Rattus norvegicus: one gene and its partners. The protein of the gene in region 1 purifies or fractionates together with the protein of each later gene. This does not show direct contact. Links are inferred from orthologs where the notes say so. Each region holds a gene or a part of one and is shown in the gene's direction. Other genes may lie near its edges.

Region 1 (4,314 bases):
TCCTTCAACCTTCCCAGAGAGATGCTGTCCACTGGAGTTCTGGACTCTGTGGCCACAGCCTCAGCCTCATTACTGTAGAAGGAAATGTACGTAGTGAGGCCTGGTGTGGGGACAGTTTCGGAGGCCACTGTACAAGGGCAGGGTTGGCTATGGAAGCCCAAGGCTCCTAGCCTGGATGTCCCACCTCAGTGCTGCAGTCAGGAGGAAATGGGAGTCTGGCCTCATTCAAGCTCTGGGATCCCGCAGTCTCTAGACCCTGCCTCAAAGGCTGAGACTTGTCTCTGTATCAGGTCTCAGATGCCAACACAGCTTGTGACTGTTAAGAGTTGTCCAGAAGCCCCAGCCCACCTTTCTCCTGTGCCTACAGGTTGCCCTTCACCATCTTCCAGGGCGGTATGCCCCGGGCCAGCTACGGGGACCGCCACTGCATCTCAGTGGTCCACAATGGCCAGCAGACAGCCTTTGACTTCACCTCCCGTGTCATCGACTTCACCGTTCTCATGGAGGCTGACCCTGTGGCTGGTAGGAGAGCGTTGGAAGTTGGGGTGCTGGGCAGGTGCAAAAATGAAGGCTTTTGGGTACATGTTCCCAAACCTGTCACCCTTCAGTCCCTTGGCCTTATTATCTTTCTTTGTAAGGCCAATGACACCTGGGAACCTCTGTCTCTCTCTGCAGTTCTCCCAGGCGGAGACCCAGTCTGGAATGCCATATTTCCAGGCCACGCCTCTTGCCTGTCCCAACCCCTCCTTAAGGGATTTGGCCCAACTCGGACAGATCTGTGACGCTGGATTTATGCCAGTCCCGCTTGGCGAGAGGGTCCTGGCTTAGATGTGAAGTCTGGATGGGGTAGCAGGTGGCTATATGGGTCAGCTTCATAAATGAGAAAACAGACAAGACCAGCAAGGGTCTTGGTGTAGAAACAGGGACACCTTTGAACTGGGCAGGAGAGGGAGACCATGCCTCCTCTACTGATGACCATGAGCCTAGGTCCACAGTGGTTAGAGGTGCGATGTTCCAGGCGCGCCTGGCTCTGAGTCTTGTTTCGGAGCTTCCCACTCTCAGGGAGACCCTAGGCCTGTGTTTTCCTTCTTTCTCAGCCTCTCCTCCCCTCTTCTTGCTCCAGCTACCTAGCGCTATCCCTCCTCTCATCTCTTCCTTGTTAAGCAGTTCACAGGTGGAGGCCACTCTGTGGGGACACAGACATACTCTCTAGCTTGCTGCCTGTCCATGCTTCAGGCCTCCAAGGCAAACTAAAGTGCTGTGTGGCACAGAAAATACTTACCATCCCTCCCTTGACATCAGGGCCAAGGCCACACATTAGGAAGAATTTCCCAGCGGCGGTAGCTTCTCCCATATCTGACTGAACTCAGGCCTCTTGTTCAGCTCCGAGGGGCACTGGTGTCCGAGCCTCGCAGAGAGGCCTTGGTCATGGCCTGCAGCTTGCAGCACAGGACAAGCTGTACAGATTGATGGTCCCAGCTCCCTGCCTGGAGCTCTGTCTACAGGCCACACGGGGCTGGCTGCCTGCCTCTTTCTAGCCTGACCGTTTGCCTGTTCTCCAGCCTTTGATGACCCCTACGCCCTGGTGGTGCTTGCCGAGGAGGAACTGGTGGTGATTGACCTGCAGACACCCGGCTGGCCGCCAGTCCAGCTGCCCTACCTGGCTTCCCTGCACTGTTCAGCCATTACCTGCTCCCATCATGTCTCCAACATCCCCCTGAAGCTGTGGGAACGAATCATCGCTGCCGGCAGCCGCCAGAACTCGCACTTCTCCACCATGGTAGGGCCGGCCCTCACCCCGAGCCCACTCCTGTCTTGGGCCCAGGTTCTCTTGGACTTCCTGATCTCTTTTTCTAGGAGTGGCCCATAGATGGTGGTACCAGCCTGGCCCCGCCTCCACCGCAGAGGGACCTGCTGCTCACAGGGTAGGTGACTTTAGTGGCTGGGTTGTGCATTCAAGACCCCAGGCACCCTGGCTGACATAGCCCTCACCAGGCTCTGCCCACAGGCACGAGGATGGCACAGTGCGGTTCTGGGACGCCTCGGGTGTCTGTTTACGGCTGCTGTACAAACTCAGTACCGTGAGGGTGTTCCTTACAGACACAGACCTCAGCGAGAACCTCAGCGCCCAGGGTGAGGACGAGTGGCCCCCACTCCGCAAGGTGAGGCCAGGGGCCTGGGAGCCAGGGGTGCAGGGAGGCAAGCTAGGATGGCCCGGTGGCCACTCACGGGCATCCCCTTGCCTCGGCAGGTGGGCTCCTTTGATCCCTACAGTGATGATCCACGGCTGGGCATCCAGAAGATTTTCCTCTGCAAATACAGTGGCTACCTGGCTGTGGCAGGCACGGCAGGGCAGGTAGCAGGCTGGGCAGGGTGGCGTGGAGGGCAGAGTGGTTGGGCGGCTTTGTGAGGGGGGAACAGGAGCCCCTGTCCGAGGGCATCGTTGGGCGCACACCTGCAGCTTTCCCCAGCAGATGCAGGACTCCAGTATCGAGTGACCCCAGAGTGACCACTGTTCTGCCTCCGGAAATGAGAATTTGGACTGGAGTCAGGCAGAGGCCTTGAGCGTTAGCGTGGCTCCTGAGTCCCTGCTGGGCTGTGTCGTGTAGCCTCTGCTGAGCTCTCTGCCACCCCCACCTCAGGTGCTGGTGCTGGAGCTGAACGATGAGGCGGCAGAGCACGCCGTGGAGCAGGTGGAGGCTGACCTGCTGCAGGACCAGGAGGGCTACCGCTGGAAGGGCCACGAGCGCCTCGCCGCCCGCCCCGGGCCCGTGCGCTTTGAGGCAGGCTTTCAGCCCTTTGTACTGGTGCAGTGCCAGCCCCCAGCTGTGGTCACCTCCCTGGCCCTGCACTCTGAGTGGCGGCTTGTGGCCTTTGGCACCAGCCACGGTTTCGGCCTCTTCGATCACCAGCAGCGGCGGCAGGTCTTTGTCAAGTGAGCACCGCATCCGGGGCTTGGGACTGGGACCGGGTGAGGACCTCCTCCACGAGGTGCTGTCCCGCGGATGACCTGACACGACTTCCTACCTCCTCAAGGTGCACACTTCACCCCAGTGACCAGCTGGCCTTGGAGGGCCCGCTGTCCCGCGTAAAGTCCCTCAAGAAGTCCCTACGTCAGTCATTCCGTCGGATGCGCCGCAGCAGGGCGTCCAGTCATAAACGGCGGCCTGGTGGCCCCACGGGCGAGGTGAGGCCCCAGGCTCAGAGCAGCCATCTGCGGCATACAGCTCTCCCTCCTTGGCTGTAAGTTCAGGATCCGAATCCAGATCAAGTAGGTTCACCACCCACTTACCAAGTGGCCTTACATATGCCACGCTGCCTTGGTGGCTCAACTTCCTGCATCCAGAAAGCCATACCTGTGACACGTTAGAGGCAGGTCCCAAGCAAATGTGCAGGTGCTGTCTTAGTCGGAGTCACTGTTGCCAAGATGAAACACGGTAACCAAAAGCAAGTGAGGGCCAGAGGGTTTATTTGGTTTGCGCTGCCCCCTACCACACAAATAAATAAATACAAAAAATAGTAACCCTCGGAATTGGAGAAAGTCTGGTGTCTGAGTCAGGGTCACTGTTGCTGTGATGAGCAGCATGGCCAAAGCAACTTGGGGAGGAAAGGGTTTGTTTGACTCCCACTTCCACATAATCAAAGGAGGTCAAGACAGGAACCCAAACAGGGCAGGAGCTCATGCAGAGGCCATGGAGGGGGTGCTGCTTACTGTTCTGCTCCTGGTGGCTTGCTCAGTCTGCTTTCTTATACAATCCAGGATCACCTGCCTAGGGGATGGCGCCACCTACAGTGGGCTGGGCCCTCCTATATGAATCACTAATTAAGAAAATTCTCTAGGGGCTTGCTCACAGATCAATCTTATGGAGGCTTTTTCTCAGCTGGGGTTCCCTTCTCTCAGATGACTCTCACCTGTGTCAAGTTGACATAAAATTAGCCAAGACAGGGGCTGGGGATTTAGCTCAGTGGTAGAGCGCTTACCTAGGAAGTGCAAGGCCCTGGGTTCGGTCCCCAGCTCCGAAAAAAAGAACCAAAAAAAAAAAAAAAAAAAATTAGCCAAGACAATTGTCTTATTATTTTTCTGTCCCTTTCCTCCATGAAATGCTGGGAAGTCAAGCAAGTTCTCCTCAGGGAACCTCTTACTTGGACAAAGTCCTCTTGGGTCCAAACAGTCAGATTGGCATGGTTATGGCCAGCCCTGCCCCAGAAGGATTAGCATTGATCGAGTTAATGTTCTGAGGAGCAGAGGCAAGAGCCCACCCTCAGACCCAGCCCAACTTCCTGCAGGCGCAGGCTCAGGCTGTGAACACCAAG
Region 2 (3,104 bases), on another chromosome or scaffold:
CTGCCAGAGTGGGGAGTGAGAGATTCAGAGCCCATGGGGAGAAGGGAGCTGATTTAGAGACAAACAGCACTGGCTGCGTCCTGACTTCACACGATTAAGTGTGGCTGGATTAAGTGTGGCTCGGTTAGGTTTGTTCCTCTTCCCCCACCCTCCCAGCTGCTGAACCCAGGGCCTCACTAGTTCCAGGCAAGTGCCCCCCACCCCCACTGCCACACCCAGCCATCTTTCTCTCCTGAGTTCCCCTCCCCCGCCTTATTTTGGATGTGATAAATATGCAAAGCGGAAGTGTTCTAGTTAAATGCAGGAAAACCTGCATTTAAAGGAGCTGTTTTAAGCGGGCAGGTTGGGATAACACTAATCTTAGCTCAGTAAAGGCAGAGGCAGGAGGATTGCTCCAGCATGGCCAACCTAGTCTTCAGTGTGAGACTGTATCTCAAGTTTGTTTTCTTTCCCCTTCAAAATAGGGTTTCCCCGTGTAGCCGAGACTGTCCTGGGGCTCACTCTACATGTAGAGCAGGCTGGCCTCAAACTCAGAGGTTCTGCCCTGCCTCTGAATGCTGGGATTAAAGGCGTGCTCCATCACCCTGCTAAGAGAGAGTTTATTTTCAAGTAGCTGATGTCAAATCATTTTTATTCTGGCTGGAGAAGTGGCTCAGCTGGGAAGAGCACTGGCCGCTCCTCCGGAGAACCCAGGTTCTATCCCGCACATGGCTTACAAGGTGTGACTCCAGTTCCAGGGGACCCAACGCCCATTTCTGATCTCTGAGGACACCAGGCACACATGTGGTACATACACACACACACACACACACAGGCAAAACTCCCATACGTGCAAATATATTTTTAAAAGATTTAAAAATTCTGAGGGGATCTCCTGTCATTGAGGCTGGTGTTGAACTCAGTATGTAGATGAGGCTGCCCTTGAACTCCTGATCTTCCTGCCTCCGCTGCACAAGAGATGGGTTTGCAGGTGTGAGTACTAAATATGTGTACATATTTGCCAACAGTGTGCACATAGAGGTCAGAGAACAACTTCTGAGAGTTGATTCTTTTTCCACCATGTGGGTCCTGGAAACCAAACTCACGGCATCAGGCTTGGCGGCAAGCTCCTTTACCACTGAGCCCTCTTGCCAGCCCAAGCTTGATGACGTGCTAACATTAGAGGTAAATCCTGTAACCCCAGCTTTTCAGAGACTGAGGCAGGAGGAGGATTGCCTTGAGTACCAGGTAACACCCGGGGGACAGGAAGGGGAGAAGAGATGAAGTTGTAGCCAGGTGTGGTGACGGAAGCTGGCCTGGCAGTGTGAGCCTCTTCACCTGAGAAGAGCAGGAGGAGGAAATTGAGCCTGTAAGGTCCACCACAGGTTATTTTGATGTTCTGGGTCTTTTGGGTTTTAGATTTTGGTTTTGAACTTGAGCTCTCCTGCCTTCTGTCTTTGGCCCCTAAGCGTGGGGATGACAGCAGGTGTGTGGGCCGTACTTGACTGTCAGAATTTCACCGCTCACTTAAGTAGTTCAGTAGTTAGTGATGTTTGCGATGTGTGATAGCGCCCTCTAGTGTCCTCTGAGGGTATGGCAGTCACCCGTGCAGCTCTCTGCTCTGGCTGAGTAGCTGACACCCGGAGGCTGATCTTAGGCGCTGTCTGCCGGGTCAGCTGCGGGCAGGCATGTTTCTTGGTGGGTCTGTAACCGTCCTGCGTTTGTTTTCTCCAAGCAGAAGAAGCCGACTACAGCGCCTTTGGCACGGACACCCTGATCAGGAAGAAGAACGTGCTGAGCAACGTGCTGCGCCCCGACAACCACAGGAAGAAGCCGCACATCGTCATCAGCATGCCGCAGGACTTCCGGCCCGTGTCATCCATCATCGATGTGGACATCCTCCCGGAGACGCACCGCAGGGTCCGTCTGTACAAGTACGGCACAGAGAAGCCCCTGGGCTTCTACATCCGGGACGGCTCCAGCGTCCGTGTGACGCCGCATGGTTTAGAGAAAGTTCCCGGGATCTTCATCTCCAGGCTCGTCCCCGGGGGCCTGGCCCAGAGCACGGGCCTGCTGGCTGTCAATGACGAAGTTCTAGAAGTAAATGGTATAGAAGTGTCAGGCAAGAGCCTGGACCAGGTGACTGACATGATGATAGCCAACAGCCGTAACCTCATCATCACGGTGCGGCCGGCCAACCAGAGGAACAACGTGGTGCGTAACAGTCGGACTTCCGGCAGCTCCGGCCAGTCCACCGACAACAGCCTCCTGGGCTACCCACAGCAGGCAGGGGCCAGCTTGGAGCCAGAGGACCAGGACAGCGATGAGGACGACATTATCATTGAAGGCAGTGGTGAGCCGCAGCAGATCCCGAAGGCCACCCCCGAGGCCCTGAGCCTGGAGTCCCTGACGCAGATCGAGCTCAGCTTCGAGTCGGGGCAGAATGGGTTCTCCCCTCTCCAGGACACGAGCCTGGTGGCTGTCCCCAGCAGCCTGGACACCGAGTCGGAAAGCCGAGCTCCGGATCAGAAACTCTTAGAGGAAGACGGAACAATCATAACGTTGTGAGTCGCCAAGCTGTCTGTCCTCTGAGTGAGGATGTGAGGGACGGTGTGTGAGTGTAGCACAAGACTGATGCTGTGGACCTCCGGGCCGTGATACTCCACGACAGCCTTAGTGCGGCTGGGATGGGGTGGGGCGTCTACCATGCCGGTGAGTGTGAGCAGGCCACAGAGCGGGTGCTGCTTCTCTGACTGAGACCTGCCTGGAGCCGGGCTGCGGTGGCCAGTGTCTGCCTGCCTGCAGGGCCCGCTCTTTGCCCTCTGTGAAGTCTGATTGTCTGTTAGCCACTGGGAACCTCAGTTCTTAGATTCCCAGCGTTGATGTTTTCTGACTTTAAAATGCTCCTCTGTTAACTGTGACAATTTATTTTTTCCATGTGCAGTTTTTGTTCTGTCTTCCTGTTTTCTAAGCCGTTAGCCGGCCATGTTTAGGGGCCCCCTCCCTGGCCCTGGAGTCACCTGTTGTCCTCACCCTGGGGCTTTACAGTTGCAGGGTGTCATAGTCCTTTGCCCCCTGTCCAGGGTGTGAGTGAGTGTGAGTGTGTACATGTGTGTGAGTGAGTG
Region 3 (4,314 bases), on another chromosome or scaffold:
GTTTCTCCCTTTCTTTTAATGCAGTGTCTTGTCCTGTTTGTGGGGTCAGCATTCCAGAAAATCACATCAATAAGCATTTAGACAGTTGTTTATCACGGGAAGAGAAAAAGGAGAGCCTTAGAAGGTGAGAAAGCTGGGCCCAGCCTCTGGCCTGCCTTTGCATGATGCCTCTGTGCTTGATAGGTGTGGGTCAGAAGCAGGACTCCTTTGTCCTGGGGACTTGCACTCCGCTTTCCTTCCTGCGTGAGTTTTCCTTTAATGCTGGTTTCCTCTCCATCCTCCTTTTCTTTCTTCAGCTCACCTCTGCCATATGTCAGTAGCAGATTAGCGCTTCCCACTGCTACATTATGACTTAGAGAAACTAGAGACTTAGAATTCATTTATCTTTTAAACTTTCTTTTTAAAGTTCTCAAATGGTCATGCAGAGAGAGGCCTTGCCAAAGAGAGCAGGGACAGCTTATATTTGAAGAATATAAATCTTTCATTGGTTCTTAGGATGTTTTAATATTTTAAATCTTTAAACAATTAAAAATGTAATGTTTTAAGTATTAATTTAAGTCAGTCCTACTGTTTATTTGTCTATTTGTCTGTATATGGTGCTAAGAATTGAATCCTAGTGAGCTTTTTCAAAAATTATTTTTTGAGGGCTGGAGAGAGATGGCTCAGTGGTTAAGAGCACTGACTGTTCTTCCAGAGGTCTTGAGTTCAAATCCCAGCAACCACATGGTGGCTCACAACTATCTGTAATGGGATCTAATGCCCTCTTCTGATGTATCTGAAGACAGTTGCAGTGTATTCATATACATAAAATAAGTAAATCCTTTAAAAAAATATTTTTTAATAGGCTGTTCAATAGCTTAATGATCCCCTGTAAAAATGATGCAGAAAAATATTTTTAGCTAAGTATAGTGATATGTGCCTGCAATCCTAGCATTCAGGAGGCTGAGACAGGAGACTCAAGGGTAGTAAAAATGACTGAAATGTAGGTTATCTTTGGCTACACAGAGCCATTCCAGCCCTGTGCTTCTAATTCCTCTTCCTTGCCGGAGGGTATATGTGGAATGTAATGACCTCTCTCCAAAGCACCGGGAGATGACATTCCAAGAAGGTGTGAGGTTGGGATTTGTGCCTAAACTACTGTGCTGCTTTGCATCCTTTGTGTACCAAAGTCACCAAATCTGGAAGAGTCCACTTGTGTGTTCAAGGAGTGATGTTTTAATTGAAGTGTAATTGCAGGGCTTTGAGAATTGCAGGGACTGGTGGAGACAATAAAGAAACAGAAGGGTCAGGTTTGAGCTTGGCAATGGTAGATGTAGTTGGGAGGAAGCATGGGCAGCAAGGTCAAAGGAAGATTTTATTTTTAAAAGCAGGGTATAGACCTCAATCTTCTGCATTATCAGGCAGTAACAGGACAGTGGTAAGCACAGGGAGTGAAGTGGGGTAAAGTTGGAGACAGTCAGTGAGAATTCAGAGAGCTGTGGAAAAGTCAAGGGGGCTAAAGACTTTAGTGACTGGAGAGTGGATCAACTCTTTATGTTCATCTGTTTTGAGGAATATTCTCCGAAAAGCATTCTCTCAGAAGGCAGGACTATCTTACTGTTTTACTTATTAAAACTAAAAAGGCGCCACTCAGTTTTTCTGAGTCAGTTTGGAGTGAACGCAGGTTCATGGGGCAGGCTGTACTGCTGTAACTTAGAAAGGCTGAAGTGGCGATGCGCTGTTACCTCATGGCACAGGCTCTCGTTGACCCCAAGCCTGGGCAGCACTGTGCCCCCGAGGACTGCCTTCCGATATCCACAGCTTGTTGACGGGAATAGGACTAGACACTCCTAGTCTTAAGATCTTACTAATTAATTTGCTGTTGTAATTTTGTTACTTAGTTAGAGGGAATTTGGGTAATCCAAGGAGATATCCCAGGATGACTTTAAGCCGTGATCTCATCCACTGCTTTCCCCCTTGTGTTTCACCCCAGAAAATGAGTTGGACGCAGCAGAGCTGAGTATTTTCTCCCTGAAGAGTAAGAAATTTGTACTGATGGTCTTGTTTGGATTGTTCTCTTTCTAGAAGGCTCTACCGTATTCTCTAATGCTTCTAGCTCCGTCCAGTGGCGTTCCAAATCTGGCTGCACAGAGAGCCTTGCCAGTGGGTCTCCAGTGCAACTTAGAGCTAGCCCATACCGCATCACTCTCAGTAGACTGCTGAGAGAGAGATCTTAGACCTGAGACAGACAGCTGCTGGTGTCGGTTGTGTTTTACAATTCCTAAATTGGCTTTACAGCACCAAAGATCATTGCTGAGTATGGCTGATAACCCAGACCCCATCCTGTGTGGAGTTGTCGTTTGGTTCAGAGCAGAGCTCTTTTCTATTGATGTCCTGGTTCTGAGACCCCTGACTTGTGATACTCAGCTTCACTGAGTCAACATAGCAACGAACAGTGTCATGTCATTCTTGGGGAAATGTTTCTCTGGCTTTAGTTTCTCAAATTCTTGATAGAGCTGATCGACATCTGGTGGGGTTTTCATTGTGAAGGCCAGTGAACAACACTGTAGATATTTATCAGAATTTCATAGTTGTAAATGTAATAGTCTGTCCTTGATAAAATAAATGTTTTAGTTAGAGACTTAATGAGTCACTCCTTCCTTGGTGCTTGTCATAAACACTGTAAAATGATTCAGTTGTTGCTACCTACTGTGATTTTATTTTACCATAATTTCATCAATCTTGTGGAGTCCAGTTGGATACCATTATAAGAACAATTTTGGAAAAATACACTCTTTTGAAGTTGCAGTCCTCTTACAATTACTAAAGTGATTTCTGGCTTTCAAACTTTCCTGATGGAGCATAAAAGAGATAATTTAGTCAGGAAATGATTCTCGTGTGAGTAGAACTGTTGTGTCTATACATGACTATAATAGTGCTCTCAGTATGACCTTTGGACCACTGCATCAGATTCACCTTGGGAAACTGGAAAGTAAAGACTCTCAGTTTCCACCTTTAGGACTGTACCATGTAGATGGATGCTGTGGGACAGTGACCGAGCATCGTCATTTCAAACAGTCTCTCCTGGTAGTTCTGAGGTCCTCTAAAATTTGAGAAGCACAGCCTTTTGTAAACTCTCTTTGCTTATTTTTTAAAGAATCTTTTTCTTTTAAACACTCCTAGTCTTAAGATCTTACTAATTAATTTGCTGTTGTAATTTTGAAATGATTGCAGTTGTGAAGACCACTTTGAAAACTGCTTATTATTATCTAATTGCCCTTAGGGCCGACCTCTAGTCGGAATGCTTATGCTGACACCCTACTCATCTATCTACCTTTGTGTGGTGTGGGTATGCATGCTCATGTGTGGGTACATGTATATGTTAGCATGTGTGTGAGCCAGAGGTCAACCCTGGGTATCATAATCAGGAGTCTGCTCTATCTTGTTCTTTGAGGCAGAGTCTCTCATCGGGGCCTGCCTGGCCTTGGTCAGTTAGGCAAGCTAGCTAGCAAGCTCTAAGGATGCCTCTGTTTCTATCTCCTCAACTTTTTATATGGATGCTAGAGACCAAACTAATGCTTATGAAGCAAGCACTTCATTGACTAAACTATTTTCCCATCCCCCTTTTTTTTTATCTTAATGTCTCAAATATTTTTCTAGTCAGTCAGGTGTTAGGAAGGTAAATTACTGTTTTATCTGAGAATATTTGATAATTCACAAGGTCTTTCTTGTTTGTTTGTCTTAGTTCTGCTCACAAAAGGAAGCCATTGCCCAAAACTGTGTATAACTTGCTCTCTGATCGTGATTTAAAGAAAAAGCTGAAACAGCATGGCTTATCTATTCAAGGAAACAAACAGCAGCTTATTAAAAGGCATCAGGAATTTGTGCACATGTATAATGCCCAGTGCGATGCTTTGCATCCTAAATCAGGTAAAGTAATACACCTGTGCTCATCTCTGGAAAAAGTAAGTATGTAGCTCAGAGATTTTTAAACCACAGAAAGAATTTTAATAAGTACCTTTGTGGTAGTAGATAAGATATGCAAATGAATTTTAGGAGCTGCCTGTAGAACACTGTGCTAAGGCAGTCTTCCTCTCAGGCTGTCTCATAGCCCCAGGTCTCTTCTCAGAGGAATCATTGTTGGCAGTTTTGAGTATCTTTCCAGAGATCGCAAGGTGGTAAAGAGTGATCTAGAGTCCTACACTCCTACTTTATTCTGAGTAACTGTGAACAAGTCACATCTGTACTTCAGTCTTATCATCCATAGAGTGAGGACTACAGTCCTACATGCTGTATGTGCCTTAGCAAGCTGTGAGAACTCAGTGGATGTTTCCA
Region 4 (4,314 bases), on another chromosome or scaffold:
CATCAAGCTGGCTGAGGTAGCAACTGCAGTCCATAGTTCCTATAATGAGGGGGGAAGGGAGAGGTGGAGACAAGAGAATCCCCAAAGCCTGCAGACCAGACTTAGACCAGACCTTGACTGAAGAACAAGAGATCCTGTCTTAAACAAGATGGAGGCCTCTGACATATGTGTACATGGGCACATGTGTTTTCTTCTGTACAAACACCAAAGAACACACACACCAGAGACCTCAAAGCAGAGTTGCTCGTTAATAGGTCTGGGTTACAGTATAGCTCTAATTTTTTTCTTCGTTGTGGTACTAATTTTTCAAGTGAGTGGCAGATTTAGAATCCACAGGAAATGCTTCACTGTTTTTCTAGTAGGTTTCATACCATTGGTAAATTACTTTAGAATAGAAGAATGGATGGATTTGTTGTCTGTCTGCCCGCCCATCCATCCATCCATCCATCCATCCATCCATCCATCCATCCATCCATCCATCCATCCATCACTTTGTAACAGGAAAGGTAGATGTCTATTTACTCTGTCTTGTGTGCCTGGCTTGCTGAAATGTTCCTATTCAGTGCTTAACAGCTCTTTAGGTATCCACCTATTATGGAGGGTGGAATACATGACTGGAGGGGTTTAAGAGCTAGCAACTCAGCCACTGTGTCCTTTGTTTTGTTAGAATGTGGGACTTTGGGTTTCAGGACTCTTTGTCCAGTGTCTGAACTCAGTTCACTTACTTTGGTTGATGCGGGAAGCAGAAGAGTCCCTCTGGTCTTTCAAGGTTATCAATGGCTTGAGATGTCTGTGAGTCAGAATTTCTGTTTCTATGCATAAGGGCTCTATAATCAATATTCGCTTGTGGACGATCAGAAACCCTTCCAGAGTAGGTTTTCAAATGTCTTGAACATGTGTGCCTGTCCCACTGACAAGTCTGTTCTGCTAACAGTTTATTCCTCTGTCCCCTTGGGTAGGAATCACCACATGGCCCATACAGATTAAGGCTTTGTGTTTCTCCTAATGGACTTCATGCTCTCTCACCAGGAAGAGGAAGAACAGGAGGAAGAGGATGATGAAGATGATGATGATGATACTGATGATTTAGATGAATTAGATACTGATCAGTTGCTGGAAGCAGAACTGGAGGAGGATGACAACAATGAGAATGCAGGAGAGGATGGAGACAATGACTTCTCTCCCTCTGACGAGGAGTTAGCAAACCTTCTAGAGGAGGGAGAGGAGGGGGAAGATGAAGACTCTGATGCAGATGAGGAAGTGGAACTGATCCTGGGGGACAGTAAGTATAGGACAGAGTTTGGGATGAGCCTTGGCACCCAGGGCCAGGTCCCTCCTCTTGTACCAACCCATTCCAGAAGAATGGGTTTTGCTGACTCTTCACTCTGGTCGCATGAGGAAAAGCGCTGAGGCACCAGTCACCCCCCTTCTCCTGTCAGACTCCGTAGCCACGCCAGGTGGCTTGTACAATTTTCTGTCAGAGCAAAGACAATGCTTTTTTGCTTCCTGTGTCTTGTCCCTATCACAGCCACTCAGCTGCACTGTAGTAATGAGAAGGCAGTCACAGGCCAAACATAAATTGATGTTTATAGTTGTGTTACAATAAAACTGATTTACAAAATAGGTAGTGAGCTTACAGTTTTTTAATTCGAGCTTTAAAGGATTGGGCTTAGGAAGGCGGAAGCCTGCACCTGAGGGTTGGGCCGAAGTCAGCTTGAAGCAGCTGTTATCGGCTGCTTTGCTTCTGTGACTGCCGAGTGCAATTAAGGAAGGGCTTTTGTGGGAGAGCCTTTCCTGGCTGCTTTTGGCCAGATGTACTCTTTCCTGAAGGCCAAGGAACAACGTTGTCTTGTTCATTTCACTCTATCCCACTTCTTGTTCTAAACTCTAAAGAACAAACTCCAGTTTGTATAGTAATTTTCCACTGGCAGATTTCCGAAGCCATTCCTACCATTGCTTATGAATTTAGGATCTGGGCAGACACCAGCACTGCACTCTGACATGTCTCTGTCCAGCCACAAGAGTGCCACAGTTGGCAGTTATGCTGGCCATGGTGCGAGTATTTTTATTGCTGTCCTGCCTGAGTGAGGAGTGGTTCCTGTCTCATTTAGCTGATACGCCAAGCATTCTCACAGGCACGGTAGGTACTCTGTCTATTAATAACAGACACTTATCAAAGAGGGCTGTTCACATCTAATTAAATATTAGCTTCTCATTTCCAAATGCTCTGTAGCATATGTTGCTGAGCAGTAAGAACACAGGTTTATATCATTTTATATCATGACAAAGTTGTGTTATGGTGGCCTAGGTCAAGCAGACTTCATGCTGCTGCATCAGATGGTCTCCTGTTTATGATCATGTTTCCTGGTATGAGAGAGAGGTGGGTGGTAGTGTGTTTAATATAGATACTCCTATTATGTGGACTGTGTAAACACAATACTGTTCCTCTACCTGATGTAAGTTCATTTTTGGGGGGGATAGATATCTCCTATGTGCTTGTAGAGCTGGGACTGACGGCTGATTGCCTTAGGAGAGACTTATTAGTAATTCCTCTTACTGTATCTGAGGAAGGTCTTGGTGGGAGTGGGGTTGCTTATATCCCCCTATCTGCAGTGTATCATATGCAAAGGTTGAGGAGATTCTGTGGATTAGCCCCAGGCCATGACCTCTGAGGGCTAGATAATGACCCAGGGACATTTTTAATAGTGAGGTATTAGAGACAAGTTTTATCTCCCTTCAAGGGTTAGCAGTGCACTTTAGAGATTTAGTGAACAGCAGGCAGCTGGTGCCACCTGCATGTCTGACATGCTTTTTTTGTTTTGAAATTAAAGATATTTTACCAAAACCCAAGATTTAAAGAAGTTTCCAGATAGACAAGACAGACCAGTCAAAAGCTGCTTTTGAAAGACAGACCCTGTAACAAAGTTACACTATTACCAACAAGGGTGCAGTACTGTTATTGGGCGTTCCATTTTTGTTTGGTTAGGCTTTTTTCTCAAGCCTACTTACAGCGAGAAGCGGCTAGACAGAATAATCTGAAGAACTGAGTTCATGCTTTTAACCAGTAAAATGAGGTCTCCATGAAAAGGGGAGGGGGCATTCTAGACAATGAAAATAAAACTACTTCCCCATCAAAGATAAAAGAGAGAAACCTTCCTTCCCCCTCCTCTAACCCTGACAACTGCCTTCATTCACAGGGCTGTGTACTTATTCCATGATGGGGCAGTGAATGAGAGCAGAGCCGCTACAGTGACCGTGTCCCAACAATCCAGATGACACTTCCAACAGTAAATGAGACATACATGTGCTAATGTGCATTTAATCACCAGAGGAGCGAAGATATCTGGGCTTTTTTTATTCTGTAATGTTTCTAAGCCTGTACCCATTAAATACAAAGCAAAATGGAAGGAGTCTTGGCAGAGCAGCAGGGACACCCACGTGGTCATGAGATGGGTTGAACAGTTACTCAAGCAGGGAGCCTGATCTGTGCTCCAACTTTTTCTAGGTCTCGGACTTGGCTCTTTTCATAGTAGAGCTGTACATCCCAGTACATCCCAGTGCTGGGGACTACTGCCTTCCAGATCCTTTAGCTGATCATAGCTTGCTTGCATGGGGATGGTACATTTTGGTCATGAAACAACTTTTAAGTCCTACATTTATTGGGTCTTACTGGGGCAGACAGTTGACATTTAAGTGTCTCTTTGAGGGGCTCCTGGGCAGCAGTGACCACATGGTTAATGTGCTTCATCCTCAGCTATGAATGACACTGCCATGACAGACACTGGCTCAGCCAGCAGTGCTTGGATTTCCTTTATTATATGGGACAGCATGGTCATCATCTCAGATCCTGAATTTGCCCTGGTCACCTAACATGGTTTGCTGCATGGCCCAGGTTGGCCTCAAGTTCCCCAGTCCTTCTGTCTTCACTTCCTGAGTGCTAGAATTACAGGCATGTGCCACCACACCCAGCCTCAGGGTTTCCATTCCTAATTTGAATATAAACCCTCTCAATTTTAATTTGGTAACAGTACACCCTCCTTTTGATATTCTGAAATTTCTTCTCTCAAAGCAAAGGTAATCTGGAAAACTTTATTGTTACTATATAACCTGGGTATAAATACTGACATAAAATACATGACATTTGGACATTTCTGCTTGGACTCAGAGGTAGAGACGCAGAACTGTCACCTGCAGCTCGTCTTATATTGTACTTTCCTGTTTTATGAGCTGTCCATTGTGGATGTTGCTATCCCGTAGCGTCAGTGGAGCAGACTGTACTAAATAAACCCCTCATTTACAAGTATTGTCATTACA

The links. The genes of interacting proteins can lie anywhere in the genome.
Region 2: the proteins of Llgl2 (region 1) and Pard6b purify together in Homo sapiens (affinity purification with mass spectrometry; 7 studies listed by BioGRID and IntAct, counting the BioPlex papers as one, with this or other methods). This does not show direct contact. The link is inferred for Rattus norvegicus from reciprocal best matches to the Homo sapiens genes LLGL2 and PARD6B.
Region 3: the proteins of Llgl2 (region 1) and Rad18 purify together in Homo sapiens (affinity purification with mass spectrometry; 3 studies listed by BioGRID and IntAct, counting the BioPlex papers as one, with this or other methods). This does not show direct contact. The link is inferred for Rattus norvegicus from reciprocal best matches to the Homo sapiens genes LLGL2 and RAD18.
Region 4: the proteins of Llgl2 (region 1) and Dcaf1 purify together in Homo sapiens (co-immunoprecipitation; 3 studies listed by BioGRID and IntAct, counting the BioPlex papers as one, with this or other methods). This does not show direct contact. The link is inferred for Rattus norvegicus from reciprocal best matches to the Homo sapiens genes LLGL2 and DCAF1.

What each region holds. Positions count from the first base shown.
Region 1 is NC_086028.1:101,577,511-101,581,824, forward strand, and holds part of Llgl2 (LLGL scribble cell polarity complex component 2), read left to right. Parts: intron 1-367; coding exon 368-522; intron 523-1,562; coding exon 1,563-1,780; intron 1,781-1,857; coding exon 1,858-1,925; intron 1,926-2,008; coding exon 2,009-2,162; intron 2,163-2,251; coding exon 2,252-2,356; intron 2,357-2,642; coding exon 2,643-2,935; intron 2,936-3,036; coding exon 3,037-3,187; intron 3,188-4,287; coding exon 4,288-4,314. UniProt on the Homo sapiens protein: Part of a complex with GPSM2/LGN, PRKCI/aPKC and PARD6B/Par-6, which may ensure the correct organization and orientation of bipolar spindles for normal cell division.
Region 2 is NC_086021.1:177,226,024-177,229,127, forward strand, and holds part of Pard6b (partitioning defective 6 homolog beta), read left to right. Parts: intron 1-1,717; coding exon 1,718-2,547; 3' UTR 2,548-3,104. UniProt on the Homo sapiens protein: Adapter protein involved in asymmetrical cell division and cell polarization processes. Probably involved in formation of epithelial tight junctions.
Region 3 is NC_086022.1:147,355,961-147,360,274, reverse strand, and holds part of Rad18 (E3 ubiquitin-protein ligase RAD18), read left to right. Parts: intron 1-24; coding exon 25-124; intron 125-3,724; coding exon 3,725-3,909; intron 3,910-4,314. UniProt on the Homo sapiens protein: E3 ubiquitin-protein ligase involved in postreplication repair of UV-damaged DNA. Postreplication repair functions in gap-filling of a daughter strand on replication of damaged DNA.
Region 4 is NC_086026.1:116,411,628-116,415,941, forward strand, and holds part of Dcaf1 (DDB1- and CUL4-associated factor 1), read left to right. Parts: intron 1-1,029; coding exon 1,030-1,282; coding exon of another isoform or gene 1,283-1,410; exon of another isoform or gene 1,411-1,621; intron 1,622-3,197; coding exon of another isoform or gene 3,198-3,229; exon of another isoform or gene 3,230-4,303; intron 4,304-4,314. UniProt on the Homo sapiens protein: Acts both as a substrate recognition component of E3 ubiquitin-protein ligase complexes and as an atypical serine/threonine-protein kinase, playing key roles in various processes such as cell cycle, telomerase regulation and histone modification.